4 linked regions of the Arabidopsis thaliana genome follow. The protein of the gene in region 3 interacts with the protein of the main gene of each other region in a pairwise test. Each region holds a gene or a part of one and is shown on either strand. Other genes may lie near its edges. The genes, in order: GRF5, BMY2, AT4G03250 and AT3G07260.

Evidence for each region.
Region 1: the proteins of AT4G03250 (region 3) and GRF5 interact in a two-hybrid assay, tested with the Arabidopsis thaliana proteins (one large-scale study listed by BioGRID).
Region 2: the proteins of AT4G03250 (region 3) and BMY2 interact in a two-hybrid assay, tested with the Arabidopsis thaliana proteins (one large-scale study listed by BioGRID).
Region 4: the proteins of AT4G03250 (region 3) and AT3G07260 interact in a two-hybrid assay, tested with the Arabidopsis thaliana proteins (one large-scale study listed by BioGRID).

What each region holds. Positions count from the first base shown.
Region 1 is NC_003074.8:4,604,977-4,612,703, reverse strand, and holds GRF5 (growth-regulating factor 5), read right to left. Parts: upstream 4,629-7,727; 5' UTR 4,179-4,628; coding exon 3,980-4,178; intron 3,701-3,979; coding exon 3,169-3,700; intron 3,091-3,168; coding exon 2,636-3,090; intron 2,552-2,635; coding exon 2,544-2,551; 3' UTR 2,207-2,543; downstream 1-2,206. Other genes in the region: AT3G13950 (ankyrin), read right to left, coding at 7,509-7,727. UniProt on the Arabidopsis thaliana protein: Transcription activator that plays a role in the regulation of cell expansion in leaf and cotyledons tissues.
Region 2 is NC_003076.8:18,350,331-18,359,277, reverse strand, and holds BMY2 (beta-amylase 2), read right to left. Parts: upstream 5,754-8,947; 5' UTR 5,685-5,753; coding exon 5,166-5,684; intron 4,993-5,165; coding exon 4,765-4,992; intron 4,681-4,764; coding exon 4,600-4,680; intron 4,457-4,599; coding exon 4,253-4,456; intron 4,130-4,252; coding exon 3,935-4,129; intron 3,814-3,934; coding exon 3,649-3,813; intron 3,560-3,648; coding exon 3,299-3,559; intron 3,218-3,298; coding exon 3,005-3,217; intron 2,917-3,004; coding exon 2,697-2,916; intron 2,608-2,696; coding exon 2,582-2,607; 3' UTR 2,390-2,581; downstream 1-2,389. Other genes in the region: AT5G45290 (RING/U-box superfamily protein), read left to right, coding at 7,186-7,386, 7,461-8,369, 8,451-8,657, 8,751-8,899.
Region 3 is NC_003075.7:1,421,714-1,430,079, reverse strand, and holds AT4G03250 (Homeodomain-like superfamily protein), read right to left. Parts: upstream 5,179-8,366; 5' UTR 5,031-5,178; coding exon 5,021-5,030; intron 4,542-5,020; coding exon 4,434-4,541; intron 4,351-4,433; coding exon 3,745-4,350; intron 3,570-3,744; coding exon 3,490-3,569; intron 3,344-3,489; coding exon 2,870-3,343; intron 2,775-2,869; coding exon 2,700-2,774; intron 2,592-2,699; coding exon 2,494-2,591; intron 2,409-2,493; coding exon 2,336-2,408; 3' UTR 2,018-2,335; downstream 1-2,017. Other genes in the region: AT4G03260 (Outer arm dynein light chain 1 protein), read right to left, coding at 1-820, 938-988; FH (frataxin-like protein), read left to right, coding at 5,322-5,539, 5,629-5,701, 5,799-5,846, 5,946-6,040, 6,266-6,395; AT4G03230 (G-type lectin S-receptor-like Serine/Threonine-kinase), read left to right, coding at 7,252-8,366.
Region 4 is NC_003074.8:2,306,051-2,312,816, reverse strand, and holds AT3G07260 (SMAD/FHA domain-containing protein), read right to left. Parts: upstream 3,209-6,766; 5' UTR 3,114-3,208; coding exon 2,531-3,113; intron 2,360-2,530; coding exon 2,187-2,359; 3' UTR 1,834-2,186; downstream 1-1,833. Other genes in the region: AT3G07255 (nuclear transport factor 2/RNA recognition motif protein), read left to right, coding at 4,491-4,944, 5,101-5,528; AT3G07250 (RNA-binding (RRM-RBD-RNP motif) domain nuclear transport factor 2 family protein), read left to right, coding at 6,346-6,372, 6,455-6,589, 6,669-6,766. UniProt on the Arabidopsis thaliana protein: May play a role in the control of plant organ development. Does not show transactivation activity in yeast.

The sequences.
Region 1 (7,727 bases), on a different chromosome or scaffold from region 3:
AACAACAAGTTCTACCCCAACCTCAATTACAATCACCACCTCCTCCGCCGTCTCCGCTTCAGAATTTATCACCGCCGCCGCAGCAGCAGTTTATGCAATCTCCCCCATTTCCCCCTGAATCTGGTAATACGCAACCTCCTCCTCTGACTCCGCCTCAGTTCAACACGCCTCCTCCTCCGTCAAAATCCACTATTAACGTTATGAGTCCTCCGCCACCACCATTACCATCACCTCCGCCGCCTCCTCCTCCACCTACTCCTTCTCCACCTCCGCCACCGATTTCAAAACCCCCTCCTCCTCCGCGTGCTCAAGCTTCTCCTCCGCATTCTAATAACAGAGAATCCCATAGAAACCAACCACCACCACGGCGGTTACGTCCCCCATCTCCTCCACCTCCTCCTCCTCCTTCTCGGGTCTTCAAACAGTCAGAGAAAAGTGGATTAAACACAGGGAAAACAGTGGGTCTTGTATTCGCTGGGTTTGCAGCAATGTTGCAGATATGCGTTGTTGCCTTCTTGGTTTTCAAAAGAAAGCAGCTTCTAAGGATGACACATACTTATTGAATTTGGAAGACACATTTTATTGAATTTTCATCAAACCGGGAAACACACACTTTTGAGACGAGGATCTAAGAAAGATTGATTGCTGCAATGATGTTTCCTCAAAGTCTTCATCAGCCTTTTTCCTCTGTAAATGGGTACATTCTGGATTTGACACTTTCCTTCTTTTTCTTCTTCTTTGTATTCTGAATTTTTTTGTTCTTTTAAGGGAGTGTAGTTTTTCATTTACATGCCTAACGATGCTAACTAGAGAGAGGGAACCGAGAGAGTTGGGGGAAAGTAAAAAAAAAAGAATGGCTCAAGTCATGTAAAATTGTTTTAGGGATTCTGTGAGATGATGAAACCGATATCTAATTTCATTTTGTGAGTTCGCAAATGTGTGTTACGTTCTCTACCTCTCTTAATGATTCATGGTTGTACACAAATCCTCTGTTTATTTGTGTTTTCCGATATTTCGGTTTGCTTGTGTAATGTTGTTATTAGGAGTGAGGTTCAAGGCACAGTAAGGTGGTAGGAAGATCAAGTTTCTTTTTTCATGTTATGCTTTTCGTAGACAATAGATTCTTTGTCAGTTCTCTTTGGTTTGATTTTGACGCTTGAGACATTTTTCAGATAGGAACTGCTTAGACTAGCTGTTGGAATCAGAAAATGTCATTCTTTCGTGTCTGATAGCTCTTGGAATCAGAAAGTATCGAATCTTTCATGTTTGATAGCTCTTGTAGTCAGAAAATGTCGGAATCTTTAGTGTTAATGTTGCAAAGTGAAAACTGGCCTCTGGTTTAGTTTAGAACTGGTGGTAGGGCGTATTTGAGAGCCAAGGATGACACCGATTAATCAGAGTTTTTGAAATTTCCGGTGGTCTGAAAGTTCCTTGACCTGATTCGGTTAATGGAAACCGGTCTGGTTAGGATAGTTTGACATGGTTGAAGAATGATAATATTGATTTTGTTGTTCCCTACTATGAAAGTGTTTAGGACGCGTTTTTGTTTGGTATGACCAAAGATGAGCTGGTTTTAATCTGGACCTTATTCCGTTCACAGAATCTTCGGTGGCAACATGCTTTTAAAAATTCTCAGCATACATATTTTATACGTATGAGATTTATATTAAAAATATAAGATTAATGTTGGTAATGACCAATGATTCCAAGTACTCATACGCACGTAAAAGGATTAATGGATCAAGAGTCATGACGTTTTGTCTTTTAACTCTCCCATCTTTCCTTTTGCTAAAGGAGCACATACATGGAAGGAAGCATACACCAAAAGTTGTATATGATTGTTTGTTTTCTATAAACGACAACAAAATTTATGGTTCTTCTTCTTATAATAATAAGTTTAATGTTTTGCCATATTATGTAGAGTTTTGACCATACTCTCGTTTCGTAAATGCGTGATTCAAGACTTGGGCCTATGTAACGTCATTTCATAACCTGCGGATAATCTCAACATACAGCCATTTAGATAGTAATTGATTATTTGTGTCTGTGTTTACATATAAAACTTTAACTAATTGCGGATAATCGTATCCTTTGCCCTACAGAATTTGCAACCTAGTCTACTATTATTCCTCTGCATGAATGTTTTACATTTAAAGTAAGTTAATCAGAACATGGCCTTAGAAAAAATCTAGATTATATGTGTGAAACTATATAGATGCTTGCATCCTAAGAAACAAATAAATTATATATAACGATACCCCTCACAAATCAAGTCATGTTTTCTTTTGTTGCTATCAGCGACAGTAAAATAAAATCTGATTTCTTGAGAAAGCAAGAGAACACATACAGATATATCTGTCGGATCACTTTTTCTTGTTGGACCTAACACACATAGAAAAAGATAGAAAAAATACATATAGGATTCTGCAAACAGTGTCTTGTCTCATTGTTCCACGGAAATAGATGTGAAATGTGACTCTTCTTCAACATTTCACAGTTGTGTGTGTTGGTGCAGATCCATCATTGATGCCAGCTCTACTTAATTAGCTACCTGAGAAAATAAATTTAAACTAATTTTGAAACTATCAATAATTAGCATAGATCATAAGATTACGTCTGCAGATTAATTAATTACCAGTGTCGAGTCTTGAGTGGGAAGAAAGGTCAAGCCAAGAATCTGAACTGTTCTTGTTCTGTGCCCAGTCCTCACCAAAGAAGTGATGTAGAGACTTCTTGGACGACTCTGATGAATCTTTCTCATCTTCTTCTTGATTTTGATCTTGTCTTGATGAGTTTGCAAGGACACTTCTTGTAGGTTTGTTGAACATGTCGGCGCCCAAAACAAAACACTGTTGCTGTCTATGATCATGATCATGATGAAGATGTTGAGATGATGATGAGGATGAGTATGTGTGATGATGATCAATCTTATTATGATCAGTACTACAGTGGTGGTACGGATCATTCATCACTGTTGCTAACGGTTGTTGGTGATGATGGTATGGAGAATCTTGAAAGCTTCTAGATGCTTCTGGAAAGAACGTTCTCTCCCCAACTCCTCCAACTCTCTCCCCAATCCCTTGAAAGTACCTGAATTCAAAAAACAATCCATCAATAAAAGTTTCCATAAAAGATCAACAAGAGAAACTAAAGATAAGATCACAGAACCTGAAGTCTTTGTGGTCAGTAGCAGAGGCTAAGACATTGAACTGAGAAGTAGAATTAGTATTTTGATGAAGTGACAAAGCGGAAGCATGATGAAGAGTTTGTTGTTGTTGTTTGGGTGAAGTAGAAGGATAAGGATAATCAAGAGAATGGCTGTTGAAATAACCTCTAGTGTTACTACTACTTCCACCAAGCCCAAACCTATTACTGTTACTGTAGGCATCCATTGAAGAAGAAGAAGCAGAATAAGTAGTAGAAGAGGAATTAGAGGAAGAAGAAGAAGACAAGGTGGGACTTGGGTTGTTGTTGTTGGTGAATGAGAGAGATGGTGATGTTAAAGGAGTTGTTGTTGTCTGATTCTGATCAAGAGATTTTCTGGCACGGTTTCTTCCTCTGTGCATGTGTTTTTCACAGTACTTCGAATCTGGGTAAGCTTCTCTTGAGCATCTCCATTTCTTACCATCTGTTCTTCTGCATCTTCCTGGCTCTGGATCTGGTTTTCTCCCAAATCCCATCTGGTAACACCCCCATCCAACTGCATCATTTAATTAAAACGAAACCCTAAAATTAATCATGATGTAAAACCCTAATTAGGACCTTAAGTTCCAAAATCATTAAAAGTAAGACTGTGGAAACTGAGTTTTTAAAAGTGGTCGTTGAAAAAAAAAGCTAGAGACTTTAACCAGAAACCAAATCACTCTAAAACACATAAAGCTGAAAACTTTGGGGGCATGAGAATCAACAAAAGATTGAAACTTTATGCAAGAAAAGAAAACATGAAAGAAAGAAAATTAAGTATAGGTATAGGGCTTACGGGATTGGTGAGGAAGGAGTCTAGAGACCAAGGAAGTGTCCAAGCTTCTTCTAATGGAGAAGATGAGCTCAGGTGGGACAGGAACACCAGAGACCATGTACTTGTAGATTAGGGCTTGATGTTCCAGTTCTTCCCATTGTGTTGGTGTAAATGGAGGCCTTCCTATTGTTCTCCCGCTACTTCCACTTAGACTCATCATCTTATTCTCTAGCTTTCTTCAGATAGTTTATATATGTAGCAAATTCAGAAGCATAAAAGAAGGAAGAGAAAGAGCTTTCTTGATGGATTCAGAGATTAGGGCTCCTGAGTTTCGGACAGAGACAGACAAAGATGACCACTTTCTCTGTCACTCTTTTCCTCTGGTTTGATATCTCTCTCTCTCTCTCTCTCTCTCTCTCTCTCTCTCTCTCTCTTTCTAAGCATATATTCCTCAGATGCAAATTGCATGAACACTAGCTAGGTTCTTTCTCTACACGAGGCCACTCCCTCTTTTATATATATACCCTACTTTTTTGTATTGAGGAAAGATAAAAGATTATTACACAATAGAGATTACTATACAATTAGTCACACTCTAGTAGGGTTTATTTTGGGGGGAATGGTAATCAGAAAGTTAATAAATCAAAGAGTGATCACAAAGAAGAGAGAGATATTTAGACAGTGTTGAAAAGAAAAAAGAATCACATCAGGACAAGAGCTTTTAAGGAGTTTTGCCATGTAGTGTAAAATCAAAACAACATTAAAATATCCAATATTGTAAAATGTAAAAATAGATAAAATGTATGTAAGGGGGATGAAGAAGAAGAGTGTGGTCCTATAAAGACTGGCAAATCTGAAGAGACTCAGGCCCAGTGTTCCTGTTGCTTCTTCTGCAGCACTTGATGCTCCTGTCTCTCTGACTACTCTTTCCTCTCTTCTCAATCCTTTCTTCATCTTATTTTTCAAAATTTAAGTATTTTTTGAAATTATGTGTATTTTTTTCTATAAAAGTGCATTGATTTTTGGGAATCTTTTTTATTTATTTTTTCCTTTGAGCTGACGCCTTTTTAATTTCAGCTGTATCCCAACACTTGATGGCCTAAAAATGAGTGCCATTTACCTTTTTATTGAGCTCATTTTTTTATTTATTACATTTAGTGAGCTCTGTTATTACTGTCTAAAAGACAGAGGAAAATCAGATAGATGCAAGAAGAACAGATAGATGTTAAAAAAAAGAAAAAAAAAAAGAAGAAGGAAATACGAGTATTTATGAAAAGAATTCGGAATAAGCTTCTTGTATCATCACTGCACGAATCTCTGACTCGGGAGAAGAAACCAAACTTATATGCTGACTTGAAAAAGAGTAAGATTATTTTACAGTTTCTGACGACAATACAAAAGAGAGATTTTTACTAAATTTTCACATTTTCTTCTTAACATCTTTTACATAAGTTGGCAAAATGGTAAATAAGAAAGAAAGAAAAGGGTGTTTAGATGAGAAATAGAGAGCAGGGGAGAGACCATTGGATAAAGAAGGGGACTAGGTTTGTTTGGTTGCAAGTGAAGTGAAAGTACTTTTGTCCTTTTTATATAAAAAATGTTAGATATTTTGTCGTTTTTATTATGTATTTTTTTCGGCATTGGTTTTTACTGAAGAAAAGTTTTCGGAATAAAAAAGAAGAGGAAGACATGTGAAGAATCAGAAATATACAGAGAGGGTTGGGTTCATTAAGTGCATAGAAAAAAAAAAGAGTAAGACTGTTCACTCCTCTGTTTGTTTCTCTGTCTCTTTTCACATGCTCTGTCCTTTTCTCTCCTTTTTTTGAAGCCCCCTAGATCTTTCTCCTTACACACCTACTACTACTATCTACCATTCTTTTACATGCACATCTATAAAGGTTTTATATCTTATGTACATATACATGATACATACATATACATGAGCTGATGAGCATCGACTTTAGGGTTTGAATGATTTTACATAGTGGATGAAACAAACTAGTACAATTGATAACATTGCGTAATAGTAGAATGATGGGATATAGTAAAAAAGTTGATAATTATCGCGATTTCTACAAATTTTTGTAATTAGCAAATACTAATTCAATCATTTGGCGATTACAAATTATATCCTTTCTTCAGTACAAAATAATACATATGTAATTGGTTAATATATAGCTAGTGAAGATCAACCCAAGAAAATAAAGATGGTTACCTTGCGATGACCACGTACTTAAACAAAATGGTGTTCACGCGATAAACCATCATCCTAAATACTTTTGATTATATACATCACCTTCTAAATTGGTTCGAAAATGATATGCATGCGTATATGGAGATATGTAAGATGGTACCTACACATATTAGTTAGAGCTCCACTCTTGTTGGTTGGTCAAAGATATATATGATCATAATCATGGTGATTAAGCTATGAAGAAGAAGGTGGAAAGACCTTTGGACCAAGGGATATTTCCATTTTAGTGCATAAATTTCCATTTTAGTCACTCATCTGTATCATCATCATCTATTCTCTTCTTGTTTTTATTATGTTTTTAGCGAATTAATTAAAATGAAAATGAAGAGTTAATTCAAACTTTTACCAAAAAAAGAAGAAAATGGAGAGTTATAAATGGGTTATATTATAGGAGATGATGGGTGGGTAAATGCAGATATTATAGGGCAAGAGACCTACCTCCTTTTCTCCCTTTGACTCACTTTTCCCTATTTCTTTTTTCAGTTTCATGACATTTACAATTGACATGTTAATACTATAGCCTATAGTCTATACCCTAACCATCTTTTAGGCCTCGAGGGTTCTTTACGATATTCTTCGTTTTATATAAGGGAATATAATACTTTTGCTTCATCATCCATCCAATCACATAAAAATCAACGATTTACGAATATATATATGAAACATTGCTATATTCCACGTTTTTTTATTTACTATATATTCTACGTCAAAAGAATTATCTTGTTTTTTTTTTGAGATGATTATATCTTCTTTTTTTTGAGAAAATATTTATTGCTTTGTTCCGGATATATTAATCTCTCCCATTAACGAGATGCTCACAATCGTTTTTTGTAATGTTTCATTCTAGTGTGCACCGCATTCTAGTTTGTTTTCTTTGTTCTTTTTTTTTGTATTTATTTATTACTGTGTTATACGAGCGATTTGGACTAAGATCATGGTAAGAATAACTATTGGCAAAAAAAAAAATTACCACGATCGTTCACCAATCACGATTCACAAGGCGATATTGCCACGATTCACATTATTTGAACATACAATTTTTAATCAAACGAATTTATTAAACAGTACAAACCCACGCAATTAATTAACTTTACAACAAACCAACCCACACAATTGCCAAGATTCACATAATCAAATGCATTTATTAAACAGTTTAAAAATAACCCATAGAATTAATAAACGTTATAACAATGTCCTTGGGAGACTTTTATTCTAGTATCACTTTCCTACATCAAGTTCCAAATTCATACGTGGGTTCGAAACACGGGTTCCTTCTCTTCTTAATGGGACCTCTCCCTAATGGAACCGTCGCCGACGTGGACAACAACAACAACACATGAAACAAATAAGCCAACCTATAAATCGAACAAGTTGGATTAAAAGTATCAAAACAGGAAATACAACCCAAAATCCCACATAAATCAATAGTATATAACGAATTATTTGATCGTCGGATTGAACCAGCACGATGGCGAAGAAGAACGCCGCTGATATACAAAGAACCGCCACCACCAT
Region 2 (8,947 bases), on a different chromosome or scaffold from region 3:
TACAAATCCTTGTGTGATTTTTTTCCCTATGTCAATATTTATATAATCACATAGTCACTAGTAATGCTCAAAAATCTAAATAGTTGATTTAGACGCATGCACGTGACAGTCACAGGTGACGAGTTCCGACGTTAGGTCAACGTGCAGATATAGAAACAGAAGACTTTTCAAAGAGACACGCGTAGACAAATAATTGGTTTATCATTTTCATTAAATACCACTAAAGGAGGCTGCTAAAGTATTATCGATAGTTGAGAAAGACCTAAAAATCACAGAAAAAATATTTGCCGGATTTGGTAACTGTTTTCTCCTCCTTATTCTCTTTCACCTTTTTCTGATGAGAGAGAGATGCGATGATTGTTAAAGTTACCGGCGGTCTCGGATTCGCTTGGTGCAGGTCGGGAACTGATTGGCTGACACCGACACGTGTCTTGTCATGGTTGGTTTGTGAGCTCCCGTCTTGTATCAACTGAATCGGAGTCCGAGGTGAAAAAATAAGGATCCAACTATCAGATCTGACACAATTATTCTGTTTGTTGTTCGTCTAATTTTTTTGTTGAAAACTGTGTGATTTGATTGATTCGGTATTGGGTTTTATCTAAATCAAGATAATTTGTTGTTTTTTTCCTTACTTTTTAAGTCTTTGTTTTAGTTTCGAAGCTTTAAGAATAATGTTTTTGTTTTTGAAATGTTAGGATCTAGGGTTTTTGAGCTATATAGATATTGTTTTCGAATTCTTTATCAGTTATTATTTATTAATGTTTAACGGGTAAATGAATTTAGATATCAACAGATTCTGATGGAAACTCTGTAAATTTTGAAGCTTTATGGTTTACCGTTTATGGGGTTTTGAGAAAATTTTAGGGTTTATGCTGGTTTTAGGTTAGTGATGATGAGATTTATACAATTTCGTTCAGAATAGTAAACGCCGTTGATGACGTATATTTTTCTTTTGTTTATTTTGATGATGTTATTGGTTTGTGATTTAAATAGAGTTTTAGTGACTTCTAATATTATGTAAAATCTTTTGTTATTTAATCAACATTTTCATTTTTTTTTGTTTGTTAAAGTTTGATTTTATTAGTTTTAAGATTTATAAAATATAATCTAAAATATTCATACTCTTGGAATTATCAGATTCATGTTTTTATAGCTAAAATTTTGTGATATTCAATTAAAGCAAAAAAAATGTATCATTGTTGATAAACTATTGCTAGAGAGTTTTCTATAATCATGTAAATTAATTTTTCACAATCTTGTAAAGTTTTTCAAACAATATCTCTATTTTGATTATACTTTTTTTGTCAAACATTCGATTATATTTTTTATGATTTTATTTTGTTAGTAAAAATATAGAAAATCATAAACCAATAACAGAATAATTTAATTCATTAACAATCAAATATTTTTTTTGTTTTAGTTGAATAACACAAAATTTTCAATGACTTTAAAATATAATTCCAATAAATCCAAATTTATTAAGAGTTTTAAAGATTTTTTAATAAATCAAAAACTAATAACATCAAACTAAAACAGAGAAGCTAACCGTATGTATATAGGGAGGCTAACAGCCTTGCAGACGGGTTAGCGAACTATGCTTTTAATCTATCTTTAGGTATTCATTAGTTTGATTTAGCTCCCTCATTGGTGGAGGAGATTGTAAGGGAGGATGTCCGAGGAACTGCGTTTCCGAGGCTCACCCGCCTACCGTTTTGTAATTTCTTTTCAGTTTCAATAAATTGCGGGAGACGGTTGTTTCCCCTCTACTACTAAAAAAAAAACTTTAACAGAATTTAATAGAATCTTGATTAAATAATAACAGATTTTTCATATCATTTAAAGTAATTAAAACACAGTTTAAATCACACACCACCTAAGACTTTTTTTCCATCTTTTTCATTAATCATATTGGACATTTTGCCTCATTATCCCACATTTAGATATGTATAATAGAGGCTTTGTTCGTTGTGGTTAACTAACCCTATTTCTTATGCTTCTTTAGATACAAAATCAAATTTTCGTACGGACCAACATTATATTGTCCATGAATTAACACTGAATGCAAAAGGACATGTTGGTCTTTTTTTCCCCTCTTTATTTGTTCTTCAAAGATTTGGTTGGATCTAAAATGTCAAATACAATCATGAAAAATCAGGATTTTATCAGAATATTATTTGAATGATACAAAAGAAAAATGTAACTTTGAACAAAAATTATTAATACCATTAATGTAATCGGATTCGGGCATATATAGTCAAAAAGGTTATTCTAAGAATAATTTAGACAAAAAGGTATAAGAGTTAGGCAACACTTTTCGGTTGTATTCATTAGACATCAATACCTTCTTGTATTTTTCAAAATAAAACTAAACAAGTGTCTACTTTACGCGAGTCGGATTAGAATGCATTTAAGAATTTAATTAGTTAGTTCATCTTCAACTAGTGAAGTGTTAAGGTGTTTAAAGATTACAAGATCAATCGTCTTAAATATAGGCCTTGAGGAGAGAATAAACAAAACAAAACAGATTTTGAAGTTTTAAACAAAAGACACTTACTAAAAGAATCCTAAGACCATGCAAATCCTAAAACTGTTTATCTCTTATGTCGCCTGCAAAGAAACAAATATAGTTGTAAGAACAAAGATTTTGACAACGAATCTAAAGGGAAGGCACAATCAAGCGTGCGGGTAAATCTTACCATGCATGCGTTTAATGAAGTAGTCCAAATCTGGAAAGCAAGTAGATCCTTGAACCAGAGGAGAAGGTTGACGATATGTGAAGAAGGAGAAGTGATAGCCATCTGGATGGTTTCTTGGTTTAGCTATATCGATTAATCTCATACAACCATCTCTGTCGAAACAAGTAATCGCATTCTCTCCACCGATTTGAAGTCCCTTATCCCAAGCTGCGTTGATCACCTGCCACAAATAACCAAAACTTTAGGGTTAAGATTACATTTGCTGAGAAGTAAAAAAAGCTATAGTCATCAATAAAAAGTGTCATTACCTGCCAACTTAAACCTTCTGGATCAGCTAATGCTTCTTCATGCGCATTGGGAGACATTTGTGGCCCAGGGCACACAAACTTCACAGTCACGGAATATTTCTTCAGAGTTTCGAAAACAAGAGAGTACCCATCACGGTTTGAAGGGTTGTAGTATCCTGCAGTTAATTCAGCAGCATGACTAGCTGTCTTGTATGACCAGTATATTGCCGGTATCTGCATTGTTGTTTTTGGTGTATGAGTCTCATTGTTATAGGCATCACTGGGTTTGAAGGATAAGTGCCAAAAGGATTATACCTTGACAATAATCTTCGTCTCCTCAAATGCGAGATTTGCAAGAGACAGAACATTCTCAGCATGACCAATTAGCAATTGTGAGTACCAATTTAAGAAGAAGCGGCCATAATAGCTGTCATATTCACCTCTTTCTTGGAAGAACACAGTTTCATGTGGATGAGAACTGTATTGACCAGCATTCTCTGGTCCTTTACCCCAGAAAGTGAATCCTCGTGACTTTGCTTCCTTTTGCAGACTCAATTGCGAATATTTGTCATAACACTGCAATAGGAAAAATAGTAAATTGATATGTTAACTTCACTAGTCATAAGTTAGAACGTAGAAGTAAAGTTCAGCAATCTGAAAAATACCTGAAACTCACCGATACCGGGATAAATCCAACCCATCCTTTCTGGGAAAGATGGGTACTTTAGTTCACCAGAAGCTCCAAGACCAATCTCAACCGCAGTAATTAGTCCTTCCACAAACAAGTCATCAAACTCTGACCGGAAGCTTCTCATAAAATCAAAATAGACCTGGATAATCAAGTGTTGAAAAGGAAGAAATAAGAATCTAGACAGTACAAAAGAGGAGGAAATGAGACATAATATACCAAAATACTGAACAATTTCTGAGCAATGAGTGTTCTTTGAGTACCTCTATACCAGTTCGTCCATGCAATACCCGTTCCTTGTCAATGCTCCAATTCAAACACTCGAAACTTCTTCTTCCTTCACGATCAGTGAAAAAAATGTCTGGATTGTCTTTCCCAATCTTCAACACCCACTGTGGCAACGAAATCATCACATTCCCAGATGCATTCCCTCCATACTCATGAAATGCCATCACCACCTTCAAACAAACCATATACTGATTGCTAAGATATTATGAAAAAGACGGTCCTTTATAGGGAAAGTCACAGTTTGGTCACATAGGATGTATTTAACAAAGCTCTACAAGTAAAAATATTCACACCTGTAGCTTAAGTTTGAAGTCTCTGATAAGGTTAAAGAGCTCCCTATAGCCAGACCATACATATTTCTGAGGGTTCCATCCTTCAACTATTCCCCACCAACAATCTATTACTACTCCATCGACATTTAATGACTTCATGTAACTTAATTCTTGTCTTACACCTTCAGGATCAACCAACTGGCCAAAGTTGTCTATAATGCCAACCTGAAAGACAAGGTACAGAACTTTAGCACAGGAAAACTAAGGATCGCGGCAAAACTGGTAAGAAATATATGTACACTCTTTTTTATTGGGCAACATCCATATATATACACTTAAAACACAAAGTTCTCTCATCAGAAGCTCACTGGAAGCATGGCGTACACAGGGACATAAAAGCTCTCTGTGAAGTCATTACATTGCTCTGCGGAATGAACATCTTGTATAAGCTGAAAGAAAAACAAAGTGGTTAGATGAAACAACGTCCAGCTTAAAGTCAATTCTCCTAATAAGGAAATGAATTTATCATTCACCTGATTGGCTTCCAAGCATCCAACGGAGGTGATAGGACTAACACTAGTATACCTTCCATTCCCGGGATGATCACTCTCGGCAATACCAATAGAATCAAGAGACACAGGAGCAAGTTTCTCATCGTTCCTAAGAACTGAATGCTGCTGAGATTCAATTGCAGCCTTAGCACAGTTCTTCAATGTACTAGAAGAAAGTGGACTCTCAATAGATCTCGTCGGAAACTGTACCTAATCCAATAATATTAAACAATCTATGTTACATTAATAACAGAACAAAGCTTATAACTTTAAGAGCTTCACACATATTTGGGATCAAATTTATCATCTTTCCACTAAACCCTAACTTAAATAGCTTAATATGAAAGTTTGAATTTTGAGAGAGAGAGTTTCGAAGTTTGAACCACATGATTTGGTTGCTGTGATTGCCGATAAGTAGTACCATCGGCTTCAACACTCCAACCAGCTTCACGAGCCAAAGCAGCGATTACGTCATTCATATCAGCACGCGCCGGTAACGGAAAATTACCGTACTGTCTTAATCCGGCGAGCATTCTACTAGTGATTGCTCGTCTATGTCTTTCTCTAAGCTTCGTTCTCTCTTTTTCCTTCTCCCTCTCTCTCTTCCCTTTCCCTCCTCCACCTCCTCCGCCGCCGCTGCTTCCTTCTCCACCGCCGATTCCGGCGATGTTTCCGTTGTTTACATCGTTTTCCGTTGGAGCTATCGACGCTGCTGCTGCTGCAGCGGCGAATCCGCGAGGGCGGCGAGATTGTGGTTGGTTGCGGTTCCGGTTGGGAAATTGATCCGGGTCTGGAATTGGGTCGAGATTCGGATCTTGCGAACCGGTGGTGGTGGTGATGGTGTTGTTGAGAGTATGCATTTTTGTGCGGTGAAGTTGCTCGCTTCTGTGCTGTTCCCACATTTGAGATTTTTTTGTAACTTTATGGATTTACAAATCAACGTCGGTAATTATTATAAATTACGTTAAAAGTCTCTCATTATCAAAATCGTCAATATTAACCCCTCCTTTTTTTTTTTTTTTTTTGGTCAAAAACCTCTCTTTTTTTTTTGTTCAACAATAGCCAATGTGACCAGTTTTGACAAAGTGATACTGAATTACTGATGGGTTTGTTAGGAATGACACGATGGGTTTTACGGTTTTGTTTCCAATCCTTTTTTTCATGGTTTTATTAGTTTAGAAAAGAAAAACTGAATAACATAAATACATAATTTGTCTTTTGATTTGATTTTGGTTTAGTAAATCAAACCAAAATCATGTTAAAATTAGTTTACATATTTTGACTCAGGTTTTTATTTTAGGTAGGTTTTAGTAAAATTAACATTATAATTATAAATAAAATGTTAATGAATTTCCGTTTATTTGATTCGATTTTATCATGTTAAAATTAGTTTTTGTTTGGTCTTTAAATCGACTTTACAGGGCCGGTCCAACAAAAATCTTCTGAAGCTAGAATGCCACTATATCTAAATTGTAAAATACTGAAAACAATCACTTCATAAAAAAAAATGATTTGTATATTTTAGTTTATTGTGATTTACTTTTTTCAACTCATTTTTTTTTTCTATTTTTAATATATCTTTTTTCTTTCTTTCTTTGAAGTTAGTGTAGTTCAATTATATTTTAATTTTTGAGAATATAGATTCGATTTTGGTTCGATTTTGGTTCGATTTTGTATTTCTGCTTCGCAATTTATAAAACCAAAAGGCTTTGTCAACAAAATTTCAGTTTTGAGTATAGTTTGAATATTCTAGTTTGGTTTGGTTACAACTATTTTTCATCTAAGTGATCACTGTTCAATGACCATTTCAAAGCTTTTTTCTCAATTATAGTCCTCAATGAAGTCCAATTATGATTGCAAAAAAGATTAAAAAATCGAACGAAAACAAAAGAATGTTATAATAGTTTGAAAAAGAAAAGAAAGAAAAATAAAGAAATGGTGAGTTTGGTTTTTTGTTCCCTCTCGTTCGAACATCAAGACACACTCTTCCCGTAAAAGTCTCTCTCTCTATCGCAGATAGGTGCTTTGTCTCCTTCTTCGATTACTCCGATCACCTAAAAATCTTTCCTTTTCTTCAAAGCATTTCTCTTTGATTCAAAGACAACACACATAGCTTAGTTCCTACATTAATTTCTCGCAATAAAAAAAGTTCAGATTTCGAGGTATTCTTGCAATCTCGATCGAGTTTCAGATCTGGGGATTCAATAATTAGGGCTTTTGATTCTGCATTGTCAATGACGAATTCGGGTTTCAATGTAAAGATCTGAGGAAAAAGTTTCGATCTTTAGATTTTGACTTGGAGGTTTCTTCGATTGGTGGATTTGAAGAAGATGGGGAAAAGACTTGTGGGTCTTGTGTCAATGATGTAATTTTAGCAGAAAGTTGTTTGCTTTTGAGAAGAAGATGGGATCTGGCCGGAGCAAATCATGTCTAGGCTCGTCGGCGATGGCGAGAGAAGCTTCTGACGTGGCTCAACCTCCTCCGTCGTCTTCTAGTGGTGGTGGAAGGAGAAGAAGATCAAAGAGTCTTTTTTGTGGTCTTCACTCTTCTTGTCTTGCTTCATCTTCTACTTCTCATTACAGTGATGATGATAATGATGAACAGGTCTGGTTTTGATATTTAATTTATTTTGGTCAAATCTGAAATTAGGTCAAGTTCATGAGTTTTGATTTCTTCAGGTGTGTAATGGATGGATGAGGAAGAGTCATGGAAGTGTTACACGGCGTAGAATGGAATCGAGAAGAGATGCATCAGATTGCTATGATAAAGAATTGAAAGATGATAAGAAATCTGAAAACGAAAGACATTGTGATGAGCTTGAGCTTGATGATGAGTGTGGTGTTGAAGAAGAAGAAGAGGAAGCTAGTGTAAGCAATGTACAGATGAGAAATGTTAGCGGTTCGATTCAAGAATCTTCTACTCCAGGTCGAGTTTTTTCGCATTTCAAATTCATTCCTGGTAACATAAGCTCTAGACTTAGCAGAGCTTCAAGTTCAAGATCCTTCAACACGACTTATCCAGTCTCTTCTTCTCATAGAGAAGATGGTGTTACTTCACCTTCAGAATCTGCTATTAGGCTCAATGATAGAGTTGAGTCTCCGAGAATTCCTGTGATTGACAATGTAGTTAGAGATATTGATGCCATGAGATTTGGGGAAGATGGTAGCTTACGTTCTCCGAGAGTAGTTAATGGTATGGATAGTACTTATGCTGGACTTCTTGATAGAAGACATGTTGTACGAGAACCTTCTATTGAGCGCAATGTTAGATTTAGTAGAACTCTGAGTGTTGGAAGACTCCGTGATAGAGTTCTTCGCCGATCTTCACTCTCTGATTTCGCATTCCGTCCCTCGCCACATCAGGGAGAAGAAGATACTGATCTCTTCTCTGCTGAAACCGCAGCAGCAGAGGATGCTCCTGTGACTTCAACGTCTATACTAAATCGTTCCGCTTCTAGCATTCGAAGGACCTTATTCGGCATTCAGGATCATGAGACACCAGCTGCTCTTGTGAGAGAAGGGAGGTATCAAGGTTTATTAGAACACAGATCAGATTTCCTTGAAAGAAGGAGGAGAATAAGATCTCAGGTTTGAAACTCATTGATTCTCTCTTCCTTGATGTGTCTGATCAACTCAAGATCTAACTAACTGATATAACTAATTCCACAGGTTCGCGCTCTTCAAAGATTAGGAAGCCGGTTTGAGAATGTCGCAGTCCATCATGATAGATCTTGTGTCTTATCAGGTCAAGATCAAGCAGGTCGCTGCACATGCCGTGCAGTTACTAACCGTGGTTCGACAACAGCAACAACCGATGAAACAAATGCAAGAGCTAGCATCTCAAGGATAGTATTGCTAGCTGAAGCTCTCTTCGAGGTAAATACATGTTTTCGGTCTCCCTACTAACAGCTTTTTGCCACTATCTTTCTTTCTCATGTATGCTAAGGATCTACAGTGCATTCATTTTAGGTTCTTGATGAAATTCATCAGCAATCTGTTGTCTTATCCTCTCAACAACCATCAGTATCATCTATAGGATCTGTTCCTGCACCTAACGACGTTGTGGATTTATTACCGATAAAACTTTATACTAAGTCACAAAGCGAGGATCCATCACAGTAATGCATACTAAATTCTCAGATCTTTCTTTTGCCAATTGTGATGCT
Region 3 (8,366 bases):
AATCATATGAATCATCATATCCATCCTCCACGAGATTTTCCTTGTTGTTATCTCCAGAATTATGCATATCATAGTCCCGATCTTGATCTTCCTCTTGCTTCACCTCTTCATCAGTCTCATGGACAGATTTATCTGTTTGGCGAGTGTCGAGGGCATGAAGGTCATCAGAGGATCTAGAGTGGTGAGAAGAATATTTGAAAGGTGAAGACTTCTCTGATGAAGAGTCAGCAATATTAGGCAATGAATTCGACCTCACCATCAAAGGTGAATCATGAGGTGTTTGACTGTTTGAGTTGTCCATCTGTTCACCATATAAGGAGGTATCATCGAGTTGACGGCTGTCTTTATCAGTATGATGAAGATCTCCAACCGAGAAAATAGACCCACAGAGTGCTTGATTTGAACCCTGGTAAGCAGAAACAGAAGCTCGAGGACCTTGCTGATACAGATTAGGACTTTCATCTACACGCTTGCTGCTGCCTGCCTCGTGAATACCACTCTGTTGTTCAAGAGAATTCGGAGAAGTAATCCGATCTGATGCATCGTCTGTTCCATTCTCTGTGGCATCCCGCCCATCCAAGTATAGTTCATTTCCATGAGATTGACTTTTCTTGAGATGCAGTACCTGGTGCGTCCCAATACCATGCTCAAGAATGCCACTGGGCTTAATTTCCTCAGATTTCCAGACACGCTCAACAGCGGCTGGCTTGCTGTTTTCACTAACAGAAGCAATGTTTCTCCCAAATATAATTGAGCTCAATCCTTTTGATTTAGACCCATCTTCTTTGATCACTCGTTCTGAAAATCCTTCAACAGATTTCTGCATCACCAGAACATAGAAACAAATTAGCATTCTCTTATTGGACAAAGGAGTCTTGGACAGAGAATGTAAAACTATCGTTCTAAAGACACAAGAGGCAATGATGGTTCAAGTTACCTTAGGTCTATGGCGGTGGATGTGAGCGTTGAAGCATGAAAACCTGACCATTGTGTCAAACTTAATAACATCGAACTACATCACCAACGGAAACTAAAAAAGCAAAACCAAACCACAAAAAAACGGTTCTTTACTTTACAACCACAACTAAACTAGAAACAATTAAGATCCAAGTTAAGTTTTTGCACGAATAAAAAGTTCTTATAAAAGCTTAAGAGGTGGTATAGTGGGCGTAGTAAATGTTAGCCGTAATCAAGGGTAAGACCCTCAGAAACACGACGGAGCCTCCAAATGATAGAAGCTAGAGAAATCCTTGGAAGACAGAGTGAAGTCACCACTTCAAGGCCACCCCACACCTGCGCAGAGGTGCGAGAAGCACACGACTTTGCAGAAGCGGCCAGAGTGAAGAACAATTGTTTCGAGCTTAATAAAGCCCCAGTCCCTTTGTTAATCCCCAATTACTTGGTCACCTGAGGAAACAATTGAACAAGAGAAAAGGAACAATTTTTAACACCGACCGACAAAAAAAGCAAAAAGCTTGCAAGTCAGATTACAAAAAGGAAAGAAGAAACAGAAAACAAAATCCATAAAGATCATCTTTTTCAATACCTACCGACAAAAATCTAATCAGCAATCAAAAACATCAACCGTTGGACGAAATTACGGAGACACAAAGGTCAACAAGTTCACAAAACACAAACCCGTAATAACGAAACACGAACAAGTGATGGAAAATATCGCAGGAACTAACACAGAATCGGAGAACAGTGGAATCGTCGTGAGAGAGAAGAAGAAGAAGAAGAGAGATTCTTACCAGGGAGGAAAAGGATTGGATTTGAAAATCCAGATGAATAATTGATTAAGCGTAAAGATTCGAAATCAGTAGCAGAGAAACCAAAAAAATTATCTTCAAAATTTGAGTTTGAGGCAAAGCAACGCTAACCCTAAAAGAAAAAGAAAAAAACCTTTTTTGGCCGAATCAAAATTGTACCACATACTTTCTACGAAAACTAGTCAACGGCTCTGATTTTTTCTCATGTGACGAAATCTCCTAGTCACACATTTCCGAACCGCCTTTTACGACTAAACCGGACTATCATAATATTTTGGGCCTAATTTGAGCTTTATTAATAAATGGGCCTTACTTTGGTTATTTTGTAATCACTGGGATTTACATACTCAATTCGGTCAAACCGGTAACGGTTTAGGAGCAAATTTAAACAAAAAAAGGCTCATTACTGGCTCACTGTATCTCTTTGGGGACCGTTTAGTTACCAAAATGAAGAGAGCTCTAACTTTTACCAATTACACGATGCAACATTTTCACATCCTAAACCGGTTTCATCATATATCTATACAAACCGGAATTTCCTAATCTTCCTTTGTACCTTTCTTTACTTAATCCATTGACGAGCTAGATTCGTCAGTCTCATCGTCCCCGCTTAAACTAGAAGGCAGTTCCACACCAGACCTACAAACATAACAGTATGATCCAATAAGCCGATTTGATATCTCTTTGGGACAATAAATGCATTACACAATGGTTGGTTACTAACCGATTTATCTGGCTTTTTCGTTCAAGAATCTCGCTGTATGATGATGATTTTGGTGCATATACTTGCTGAATATACCCATGTTTCACTCGTTTGGCAACCTATTAACATTCGTTAAAGGTCAGAACACGAACTTGATAGAGCCTCTAAACTTTGTTAAAATATACATCAATATCTATATTTTTAAGATAGTTAACCATCAAACTCACCGGTGGTTCATCAGTCGAATGCAATTTCTCTCTCTGCATTTTCATTTGATTCCTCTCCCCGTGATATATTCCTGCCTTTAAAAGAAGATATCACACAAAACACAAGTCATATTTCCATAAAAGGGCAAGAAAGGAACATGTAGACATGGAAGTATTAGACAAATCTTTACCATCCCAGAAGATGGACCTCTATCCATTGACTCAGGGGATCTGCTTCTACTCGGAGGTAACAGCTTCGAAGATTTAGTGAGATATCCCGTCTTGCGTCCGCCATTAGATATATTATTATCATAATCATGAGACTGATTGGTTTCAATATTGCTTCCAGAAAGATTTTGGACGTTGGCAACCAGATGGTTTCTCGACCCTTCAGCCCAACTTTTGGAACTTATCCAACCCTTCTTGCTGTTAGTTACAGGGATTTCCCGTGGTGAACCTTTGAATGTCTCTTTAAACGATTTGTGGCGAGGTACAGAATTATAGAAACTGGTAGAAGGGGATTTCAGTCTTGGTTCCCCAAAACTTTTCTTATCTCTTAGACCAGGCTCCATTCCAACCATTATGTTGTCATCATCATCATGCTCATCATCCTCTGAATCTGGATCTGGCGAATGCAACTTTGATTTACGAGCTAATTCATAGCTCTATAAAGACATTAAGACAGAAAACGAAAATATTAATAATACTTCAAAGAAAGTAAGATAATTTAGCCAAAGAATGTGATGGCAGACTAAGATTCTAGTTTATATTATCTTCATGGGTATGTAGTATACAGAAAATGTTCACTTACAGGACCAGGATTAAAGCTCTTCCTCGTTCCAAGTAAATGTGGAAGGTGAGGCCGTCTCTGATTCCCAACATATATTGGCTCTGACAAAACAGTTGATAGAAAAAGCAATCAAATCCGACTGGACATGGGTAAAGGCATTCACAATCTGACACACGAAGAAGATGGTTTTAGCTTCTCTGAGCCACTTACTCAATACTCATAACATCATAAACCAGAAAATTAAAGGTAAAGTTGAAACATTTTATCATGACTCACCGTGAACTATAGGATTAGTCTGAGGCTCAAATGCACCGGGAGGAAGAGGATCAAATTCAACCCCCAGAGGTGGACCATCCTCTTGGTATTGTCTTCCTAATTGTCTCTTTACGGCAGTGATAGCAAAATTCTCACTCTCTCCCTTCACTTTCAAGTATCCCGAAGGCTTATTATACCCATAGCTTCTCATGAACTGAGGATGCTGAATAACGTCTTTATGTGCAACATATCTAGAACTTTCCACATCGCGAATTCCATCTTTGCTAGAGACAAGATTCTTACGTAATGATGAGCTACGATCAGAAGATGTACTATCTTCACCATCAGCATTTCCCATATAAAGCCTTTGACTTTCAACTTCCCTAGGCTTGGGGTTCCAATAATCCGTTTGCTTTGTACTACCACATGAATCCTGTCGAAGCCCACTTCCACGATCCTGAAGAACAACGCTTGACCGATCTTGGCTCCCAATGGCATTCCCATCTTCTTTTACATGACGTTTGTCTTTTAACCTTCTATGGCAGAACCAACCTGAAACTTGCTTCTCAGTTAATCCAACTTCCTCTGCTAACTTGCCCTTCATTTCTTCAGTCGGATACTTATGCTCTGTAGAAAAACCAAATCACACCTGTAAAGCATATACAACTTGGTATAAAGGAACATATGCAAACAACAAAGCCATAATTTACCATTGTAGAAATTCTCAAGCGCCATAACTTGCATAGGAGTCTTAAGCTTCCGTTTTTTGCTGTTTTCTGTAGAAGCTTTATCGCCATCAGCGGTCGCTTCGCCTGAATCTATCGAAAATAGCACATAAAAATCAAAAACATAAGAAGATAATAGTGAAACACGGACACCATTCAATAACCAAGAGATGCAAAGCCCTGACCAAAATCAATTTCATTTTACAATCATGCTTTGTGTATTTAGAAATGTTGCTAGTAATTCCGAAATTCAGGTAAAACATCTACACAAGCTTCACATAAAAGGGTTTAATTTCAGAATTATGGCTCTTTCTCTCATCAGCCAAATACTTCTAAACCCAATCAAAACGAACGAAAACTTTGGAATTCCTTAGCTTGAATAATTAGTAGTACCATAAAACAAACCAAAAAAGGCTTAAAATTTCCAATGCCATTGATGAATTTCGCTAATTAAAACTACAAAAACTGGGAGTTGCATTGTAATTCGACGAACTCGGGATCATTAAAAACTATTCTCTCACGTAAACTCGCAGGAAGACAGAGATTGAAATAGAGGAAAAAACGAATTTCACCTGAGTGCATAGCGAAAATTCCCAGAGATTGAAGGAACAAAACCTAATCAGCTCCCAAAAACCCAGATTTTTTTCTTTCTCCTTCTTCAAAATTCTGGTTTTTTCTTATGAGAGGAGAAGAAAACTCTTCTTCGCACACAAATGACAAATCTCTTGAGAACCATACCGGTTTCAGTAAACCGGAACATGGGAAATACGTGAACCGGGTAAATCTAAATTTGGGCCTTATTGTGGGCCTAAATTGGACAACGAAGGAATAAGAAGAAGAGAGGCGTCGAATGTTTCTTGTGACAGAACCGCCATGGCTACAGCTTCAAGGTTTCTTCTACGGAAATTGCCGAGGTTTCTCAAGCTGTCTCCAACTCTTCTCCGTAGCAATGGCGTAAGAGTTTCAAGCAATCTGATTCAAGATTCCATAGAACCGTTGGATTCCTTCTGGAGAATAGGATCTCGAATCCGCCATGATTCTTTGACTACCAGAAGCTTCTCTTCTCAAGGTCCTGCTTCTGTCGATTACAGGTACTTTAATATTCTCCATTTTGATCTCCTTTATTGTATCTGAATCGTTAATTTCATGAGAATATGAACAAAGTGGAAGAAAAAAACAGTTCGGTTTTGCAGGAGGAAGAGTTTCACAAATTAGCCAACTTCACAATTAATCACCTTCTTGAGAAAATTGAGGTATTTGAAGCTGGAACCTTTTTCTCTCTAGGGTTCTTCGTTTTACTTGAGATTGCAATAGCTTACACTATGTTCTACTTGCATGATTCATGTTCAGGATTATGGTGATAATGTTCAGATTGATGGTTTCGACATAGATTATGGGGTAAGGATTAAACTCTTTTAAGCAATTTAAGATCTTGTTCATATTTCTGGAAATCTATGTGTACTTATTATAGTCAGTCCTTTTGGCTGTTTCCAACAGAATGAAGTTCTTACCCTTAAGCTTGGATCTTTAGGCACTTATGTACTGAATAAGCAAACTCCAAATCGACAAATCTGGATGTCTTCACCTGTGAGGTAAAGATTCTTTCTTGCCTTTTGAAAGTTGCTAACTTTAGGCGCCTAGATTGAATTTCGCATCTGGATTATCATGTTCTGCTCTCTCTTCTGATTTTTGTACTCATGATATTTGGAGAAATGAAACTGTTTATGACTGTATAGTGTTGTTGCTCTTGACTTTGTGCTTCCACATCTTAGATTCACATTAATGTAATCTTCATTCTTCCTTTTGTCTCGGTGCAGTGGCCCTTCTAGATTTGACTGGGACCGTGATGCTAATGCGTGGATATATCGGCGAACTGAAGCAAAGTTGCATAAACTCCTGGAAGAGGAGTTAGAGAATCTATGTGGTGAACCAATCCAACTCTCATAAAGAAGGCTTTAAAACAATATTTGTGAGCGAAAGGGTTTCATCTATGAACTTGAAACTGCTATACCCTGTTAAAGGTATATCTATGAAACATCCAGAGGAATAAACAAACAAGGCAGAAGACAAAGTTGTTTTAGTGTGAAAACTGATTAGTGTTTCTGAATCTATTTTTAAACAGTAATGTCTCATAGTGACATTGTTGCAAGTCTCTTTGTTTAATCAGAGCTGAAGCTGCCTTTTACAGGTTTACGCGTTTTAGATGAAAACATTTCTTTTGAACGACAAAAGTCCTACATTTGTCAAAACTCCTCGAATCTCACAATAATTTCGGAAAAAAGTTGGTTAACAATGTTTGCAGGGTCAATCTCCACTTCTTCGAAAGCACCAATAAGGACAAAAGATTGACTTCTTCAACATCATTGTCCCCTTTTTCCAGTAATTCACGTTTAGGTACCCCTATGTCTCTCTCATTGTCAAAAAATACTCTAAAAGTACGTATTATTCAAAAAATGTTGGATCTTTTTGAACTATTTAGAGATCCATCGCGGAAAAAGTTGACACAAAGTGCGTGAATTGGTCACATGTGTATCTACATACAGTGGCTAAGAGAGTGTAAATAGTATCTACTACTTTCATGGCTTTTGGTTCAGATGCTCAAGTGAGACTTGTTCTGCTTTTTCTTGGAAACATCTTAAAACACATGATTAGCTGCGTTCCACATATTTACTTTTCAGGTGGGTCTTTCGTTGACGTTGAGGCAAACTTTTTCTTTTTTCGTTAGACACGTTTTGAGTTGAGTTCTTAAGCAGAAATAATGGAGATATCAGATGAGTAAAAAAAAGCTAGTACTGGTCAGAGAATGATTCTTTCTGTCTTCTTCTATATGTTTTTGCTGCATATTCGTCGATTAGATTGTTTTGTTGCAGTTCAAGACTCCAAAACATTGTTCAAAGGTTCAACATTGATCAATGACAGCCATGGAGAGACTCTTGTTTCAGCTGGTCAGAGATTTGAGCTTGGCTTCTTCACTCCTAATGGAAGCTCCGACGAAAGAAGGTACTTAGGGATTTGGTTTTACAATTTACATCCACTGACTGTTGTCTGGGTTGCAAATCGTGAATCTCCGGTTCTTGACCGTTCCTGCATTTTCACCATCTCTAAAGATGGGAATCTTGAAGTTATTGATTCAAAGGGAAGAGTGTATTGGGACACCGGTGTTAAACCTTCCTCAGTATCTGCGGAGAGAATGGTAAAGCTGATGGATAATGGTAATCTTGTGTTGATTAGTGATGGAAATGAAGCAAATGTGGTTTGGCAGAGTTTTCAGAATCCTACTGATACATTTCTCCCAGGGATGAGGATGGATGAGAATATGACTTTATCATCATGGAGAAGCTTCAACGATCCATCACATGGAAATTTCACCTTTCAGATGGATCAAGAAGAAGACAAACAGTTCATCATTTGGAAAAGATCAATGAGATACTGGAAATCCGGAATTTCGGGTAAATTCATAGGATCCGACGAGATGCCTTATGCGATTTCTTACTTTCTTTCCAATTTCACAGAGACTGTTACTGTTCACAATGCCTCTGTGCCTCCTCTCTTCACATCTTTGTATACCAATACAAGGTTCACCATGAGCTCCTCTGGTCAAGCTCAGTACTTCAGGTTAGATGGAGAAAGATTCTGGGCACAGATTTGGGCTGAACCTAGAGATGAATGTAGTGTATACAATGCTTGTGGAAATTTTGGTAGCTGCAACAGCAAGAATGAGGAAATGTGTAAGTGTTTGCCAGGTTTTAGGCCTAATTTCCTGGAGAAATGGGTCAAGGGAGATTTTTCTGGTGGATGTTCCAGGGAGTCAAGGATCTGTGGTAAAGACGGTGTTGTGGTGGGAGACATGTTCTTGAATCTGAGTGTGGTTGAAGTAGGAAGTCCGGATTCACAGTTTGATGCACATAATGAAAAAGA
Region 4 (6,766 bases), on a different chromosome or scaffold from region 3:
GACTGAAATATGTTTTTACTCGTATATACGTATAATAATCGACCATTTTCAAATACTTTTCGTTTTGAAACAACTTGCAATATAACATAAGAGGATGACATAGCCATATCATTAGCACATACCACAATTATTAACACATAGATATCTCTAAAGTAGGTAGTTCCGTAATTAGTATTTAAACAAGATCATCTCCAATATTCCATTTTTTTTACGGACCATCTCCAATGTTCATTTTTATATTATTTTTTATTTAAGAAATTTTTTTTTATATAAAAAATTTTAGTCCATTATATATATCTAAAATAGAATTTTCTCTAAAATAAAATAAAGGCACATTGAATTATTCTCTATATTTTAAAATCTCCTTTAAAATAAAATAAAATATGCATTAGAAATGTTTTAAATCATATTTTCACTTATCCGCCTAGGCTTTTAACATATGTTTACTATTTTAATTAATGCTGTAATTTTGAAAATCCAAATAACTTCTTGAAAAAGACAAAAAAGTAAAATAGTGTCTGTAACCAATCACTTTTATAGATTTAAATTTGGTCGGATTAAGATTTTGAATTTAGAAAATAGCCTTGTATCTGTATCTAAAAAAAAAACAACGTTGCATGCCACAAGCACGTTTTCCTATTGTTTCTTATATCCTTTTTAATCAAACAAAATTGGAAATTTCGAGGTGATAAGAAAACCAAATACAAGAATCTTATCAAAACCTAGGTTAAATACTTACTAATTAATTTTGATGCTAATCTAATTTTGTAGCAAGGGTAATGACTAATGAGCCTGGAAACAAACTTCAGCTTTACAATCACTGTGAGTTTGTGACTGCAGCAGAAGATTAAAAAAGAAAAGAAAAGAAGAAAAAAACTTCACTCAATGATTGAAAAAAAAAAAAAAAAAACTTCACTCAATATATATATATATATATATATATATATATATATTAATATTAGCAACTCTAAGCACCAACTTCACTCACGTTATCATATGCATCAGTTTTTTTTTCTAAGAATTTTGTCATGCATCAGTCTTTTTCTATTGTTTTTGTAAGTAAAAAAAAAATCGAAGAATCTTACCAAAACCTACGTAAAATACTAAATAGTAATTAATTTATCTCACAAAAAAAACTTAAAACTATCACTCAATAACTTAGGGAGATTTCTCTGTATATTGTTTTAACTTTTAAGTAATAATTTGTAGACAAATAAACATGTAAGCAAGTGCAAGTTGTACGGCAGCAATATATAAAACGAAAGTTGGTACTAAAGACGAAATTATTGGAAAAAAAAATAATAAATGTTATTGCGAACAGCCTAGATCTTGACCACCGATAAAACAAGAGAAGAAAGTTGATTTTTGGGTTTGAATAAAGTGGTTTCAATTTTCATTAGGCCAAAAAGTAAAAACTTAATAGGCTCAAGTTTGTAAAATAAACTTCTAATTTGTGATGATCACTCTTGTGATGTGTTATGTGTTAAACTCCAAACGTTTTTGAATGATTGTATGTGTTGACTTTTAACAGTGTATGCGTTGACTAAGTGATGTACAGTAATGAGACGGGGAAAATCATACTAATATTTCCTTCCGACAACTTTATCTGTACTATGCATAGTACTTTTGAGACAACTTTATCTGAATTTTGTATAGTATACTTTTGGGTTGTGATATATTTTCTCGTTTGATTTTTCTTTTCAACTAAATAATATGCAAACCAAATCCGCTTTCGCCATAAGAAAACAACTAAAAGGTTAAATTTACCCGAGAGTGTATTAATGTTGAATAGCCATATAGGCTATAGTATGTATATGGCTGAAAATAGCTTATGCGATTTCTTGAAGAGAGAGAAAAGGTTAAATCCGAGAGTGTTTTACTCATCAATGTCATTGTCATTCTACATATACAACGTAACAAAGAAAAGCGAGAAAAACTTAATCCGACGAGTCACCAAGGTCAAAACACCTAACACCCACTTATACACTCATTACGTGGAAACATAAAAGATATACTACCAATCATCCTGCTCCTGCACTAACAATCATCTCGATGATTATGAGAGTAGGGTAACGAGGGAAACGAATTCAAGGGTAACTCTTCCCTTTGATCTCGTGTTGATGACGAAATGCTCCGGGTATTTTCTCAGCAGCATCAGCAAACCGTACCATGGTTTACCTTTTGCTTCAGGGATAGCCCAGTCTTCTTGTGATAGGTATCTTCTTACTCGACTGTGATGCCATACGTTTCCATACTCCTTTAATATCTGTCACAGACCAACCACTACCATGCATTAGCTGCAAAAATTGTTGATCATCAGCTTCACGATCTGCCTTTGATCTTCCCTCTCTCTTCTTCTCTGCACAAATGAAGCAGATACAATGTCGTGGTGTCACTATCATTCAATCTAAGTCTAACAAGGTTCAATCATCAACCACCACAGTAAAACTTATACTCAAAGTCTAGAACAAGCCTGAAATCTATTTAGTGACACAATGAAGTTAAGCTATCATGAGCAATTTGGTTTTACCTCCAGAGGCATATACTCCTTCATGTCCATCTCTCCATGTTTTCTTTCCACTGCCTCTGATATCCTCCTCTTCATCGTCGTCTTCATCATCGTACTCATACAACTCTCTACTCCGGACGCCATTCTTACCCGACCCGGAACCTGGACCCGAATGATAATTATGGTACGGAACAACAGTAGCCTTCCCTAAGACGTGGTGCCTGGGTCCCAATGGACCGCCTAGGATACTCCAAACCGGAAGCAGGAAGTAGAACTCCTTGTCACCAATCTGCAAAAGGTCCTGTGAATCGAGCTTGACGTTGGGGTTCCCAGGGAGATGGAGGACACCTTCAACGAAGCAGCCATTTTTGCCAAGTACCTCGAGAGAGAAGCGTCGTCTAGTGAAGTCATAGAAGATCCGAGCGTGGTTGCGAGAAATGTTCATCCCACCGCCGAGAGATGAGAGGTCGACGTCGACGGTCGATTTCTTAGAATTCCGGCCGAGAATAATGGAGTAAGACTGCATATAGTACTCGAAATCCTCACCTTGGAGCTTCGCAAATCCAACCTCTACATCGCTCCCGCTTCCAACGGCTGTAGCCATGCCGTGAAATTTCTCCGATTTTGAAGTCGGAGATCAAATTTGGGGTTACATAGTAATAGAATGTGTTTGGAAACCGGTTTAGATATGTTGTGGTTAAACCGTACAATGAAAAATATAAAGGCTTCTCAAGTAAATGACTATTATACCCATCATGTTTTCAGCCTCTCCACTGTCAATGTTACGGGCCTTACGGCGATCAAATCAAAACGGGCAGTTTGTTTCCACGGCTAACAAAAGAAACAGCTTTAGTTGGGCCTTATCTAAAAAGCATCAGCCCATTAACGTGAACCGGATCTTATGTACATAAACCCAGTAGTATGTAATATTCGGGGATAAGCATGACATTGACATGAATATGGATCATGTGATAACCGTAAGGCTTGAAATTATGATGATAAAATATGATGAAAAGTTCATAAGAATATCGTCACATTTTTGTCAAAGAAATAGCAAAGTCAAGAATGGTTTTCTTTTTCTAGAATCTTTGCTTTACATTTTGTTAAACATTTAATCAACCGAAAAAATCACAACGAGAAAAGAACATTTGCTATATTCCACAGTGTATTCGCAGAATCTTCCTTTGTTTTTCTTGTCAACAATTCAAATAGTCTCAATCCTCTTTCCACTTTCCAGGTGCAATTCATGCAAGAGTAAGGCTGGAACTTGTGATAGCCAAGCTATAATAAAGCAACTTCAACAAGCTATTCCACTATTCGAATAAAGACACGAGTCATCTATCTACTCAACATAATTCTTTACAGCCATTTGTCATCTAGCACGTGCCCATGAAGCCAGCCAAACATGAACCACGTCGACACACATCAGATGAGAATAACCGTTACGGCGTCATTTGCTGACCTGGACTGTCTAACCTATTGCACTGTCTCTCGAAGATGGTCGCCACATGTCAATCCCGGGGTCGTGTTTATGCTCGAGATTCGCGGAGTCAGATACGAACACAAGAATTCAAAACACCCAACGTGTCCTCGTCAAAGCCAGCAGGATCTCAGTGTACACGTGTTAACTGTTTCCATGCACGTGTTACACGTGGCGTCTCGGTACTTTTCGTCAAAATTTTACTTGATTTTTACAACCAATGGAAATAGAAACCAACAAAATAAATGGAAAGCGTTTATCGATAATCCGAAATTGTAGCGCTAATAAAGTTTCTTAACCTTTCTCTTAGTGAATTTTGAAACCGCCCATGTCCACTATCCTTATCGGACATGTGTCATGTTCCGAAGCCTTTACCATTCTCTTTTTAATTATCTCCGCCCCTTATAATATTCCTTTCTCATACAACAAAGTTGGCGAAGCTTCAAAACCCTTCAAGAGGAAAATTTTGCGGAAGACAAGAGACCATCTTTTTGACATTATATGTTTGTTGAATCTTTATCAATGGCAGAAAAGTTTGTAGAAGATGAGAATGTGGAGGTCGAGCTCGAGCTCGAGCTATGTCTTTCCCTGGGAGGTCCTTTCAAGAAAACGGAGAAATCTAAAACATTTGGACAATCTAACGCCGTCGGATTCGAGAAGGATAACGGCGTTAATCTTGACGGCAGAACGACGAATGTGACGAGGATAAAGGAAACACGGAAGAAGCGGGAGGCGAAGCAGCAGCAGAGAAGCGGAGAAGAAGGAGAGTGCAAGAGGATCAGAACAGAATATAACGGAGTTAGTAACGGCGATGATATGGATTTGAGCTCTATCAACATGTGTAACGGTTACGGGTCGGGTCGACTCAAGGAAAGCAGTAAAGACGTTACGATTGGGTCACCCATTTGCACCTCCTCCTCCGTATCCGATCCTAGCAGCTCTTCTCGCCAAGAAGGTATATAACAACCTTCTTTTAAAAATAAACTAAAATTGGTTGGTATATGTATATAGTTTTTTTTTAGTATATAATTCGATGTGTTGATTCTGTTAAAGAATCACGAAAATTATGCTATTTGCATGTAGATGATTTTGAATTATGGTTAATGTTCAGGTGGAAGTGGCGACATTGGGGCACAATCTGGCCAAACCAAACAGGTTAGATCTCCGGTTAACAACATTCTGACCGGTACAGAGCAAACCGTGCATAACACAGACGGTTCAAAAGACGCGGAGACCCAAGAATGGTCCAACTCTTCTGTAACCAAAGAGAGTGGGAAGCCGCCAAAACCGCATACCAACAGTAACGGTAACGGCAGTTTGCTTCCGTTTGCTCAGATGCCTTGCGTGACTAGCACCGGTAACGGTCCCGAGGGCAAAACCGTAAATGGTTTTCTATACCGTTACTCAAAATCAGAGATCAGTATAATCTGCGTCTGCCATGGAACGTCTTTCTCGCCGGCTGAGTTCATCGTTCACGCCGGTGGGACTAATGTGTCGCATCCGTTGAGGCATATAACCGTTGTTCCCTCAACTTTGTGAACTACAAATTTACATATTTTGTTACTCTTTTTGTCTCGTTTTTGTGTATATAAGTTTCACCGATGGACGTTTTGAGTTCGAAGGGACTCTCCATCCATGATTTTCTTAGAGTTTTGTTTTTCCTTGACATTTTTCAACTAATTTTACACTTAATTTGTTGCATTGTCTCTCTTATTAACGTATCAGTAAAAGTGAAGAATTCGTGTAGTTGTATATATATTTGTTTATTTATGCAATTTCATATGGTTTGAATTCGTCAACAAATATTCTCTAGTAATAAAGCAGTTAAAAAGTAACAGATTTTACTAACAAACAAACGAAAACGCTCAACGATTAGTGGCAACAAATGTAAATATAAACATTTTATGAAATTGCATAAATAGGACGAAAAATCCAAATAAAAAGAAATTCTCAGCACCTTCTTTCTCTCGCGCTCTTCGTCTCTTCCTCTGTTCTTCCTTCTGGTGAATAACCGTAGGAACCGCCATTGGAGTGGGTGTGGAAGAACTCGGAGCTACTCAATACTCATATTCAATCTTCTTCACTACTTCGCTGTAATTTCAGGTGAGTCTTCTTTCAGCGATTCCGGTTTATCGTTGGTTCGAGGATTAGATCAGCGATGCATCTTTTGCTTTTGATTTAGTGAAACGTGAAGACAATCTCTATACTTCTTTCGTCATTTCTTAACAAATAAGTCATTTCTTTTGTGTTAGCCGCTGCTTCTCACCATTTCTTTTATGATTATGTTCGCAAGATCTAACGATTTTGCGTTTGGAACTTGATTTGAGATACAGGGCATTGCATATTCTCTGTATCGATGGATCCTCGTCCAAATACTGCAAAGGTGGTATATAGGATCCAACAACTGTATGCTCTGTTCTTCGGATTTCATTGTCCTGTGATTGTAACTCTCTGTATAAACGTAGGTGGGGGATGAGTTTGCAAGGCAGTACTATAACACCTTGCAAAACGCCCCGGAGAATCTCTATAAGCTTTATAAAGATAAGAGTACGATTTCACGGCCTGGACTAGATGGAACGATGCGTGTCTTCACTTTATCGGTAAAGATACTTTTCCTGATTGACTTAGTAACTTTGGTGAAATCTTTGTTCTCTTGAATGATTCCTAATCTTGGAACAGAAAGATCTTAAATGGCGATCTCCTGGTAGTTTTGATTCGGTTAAGATAACCAGCGTCACGTCCCAAGACTCTCTTAAGCAGGGTATCCTCGTCGTTGT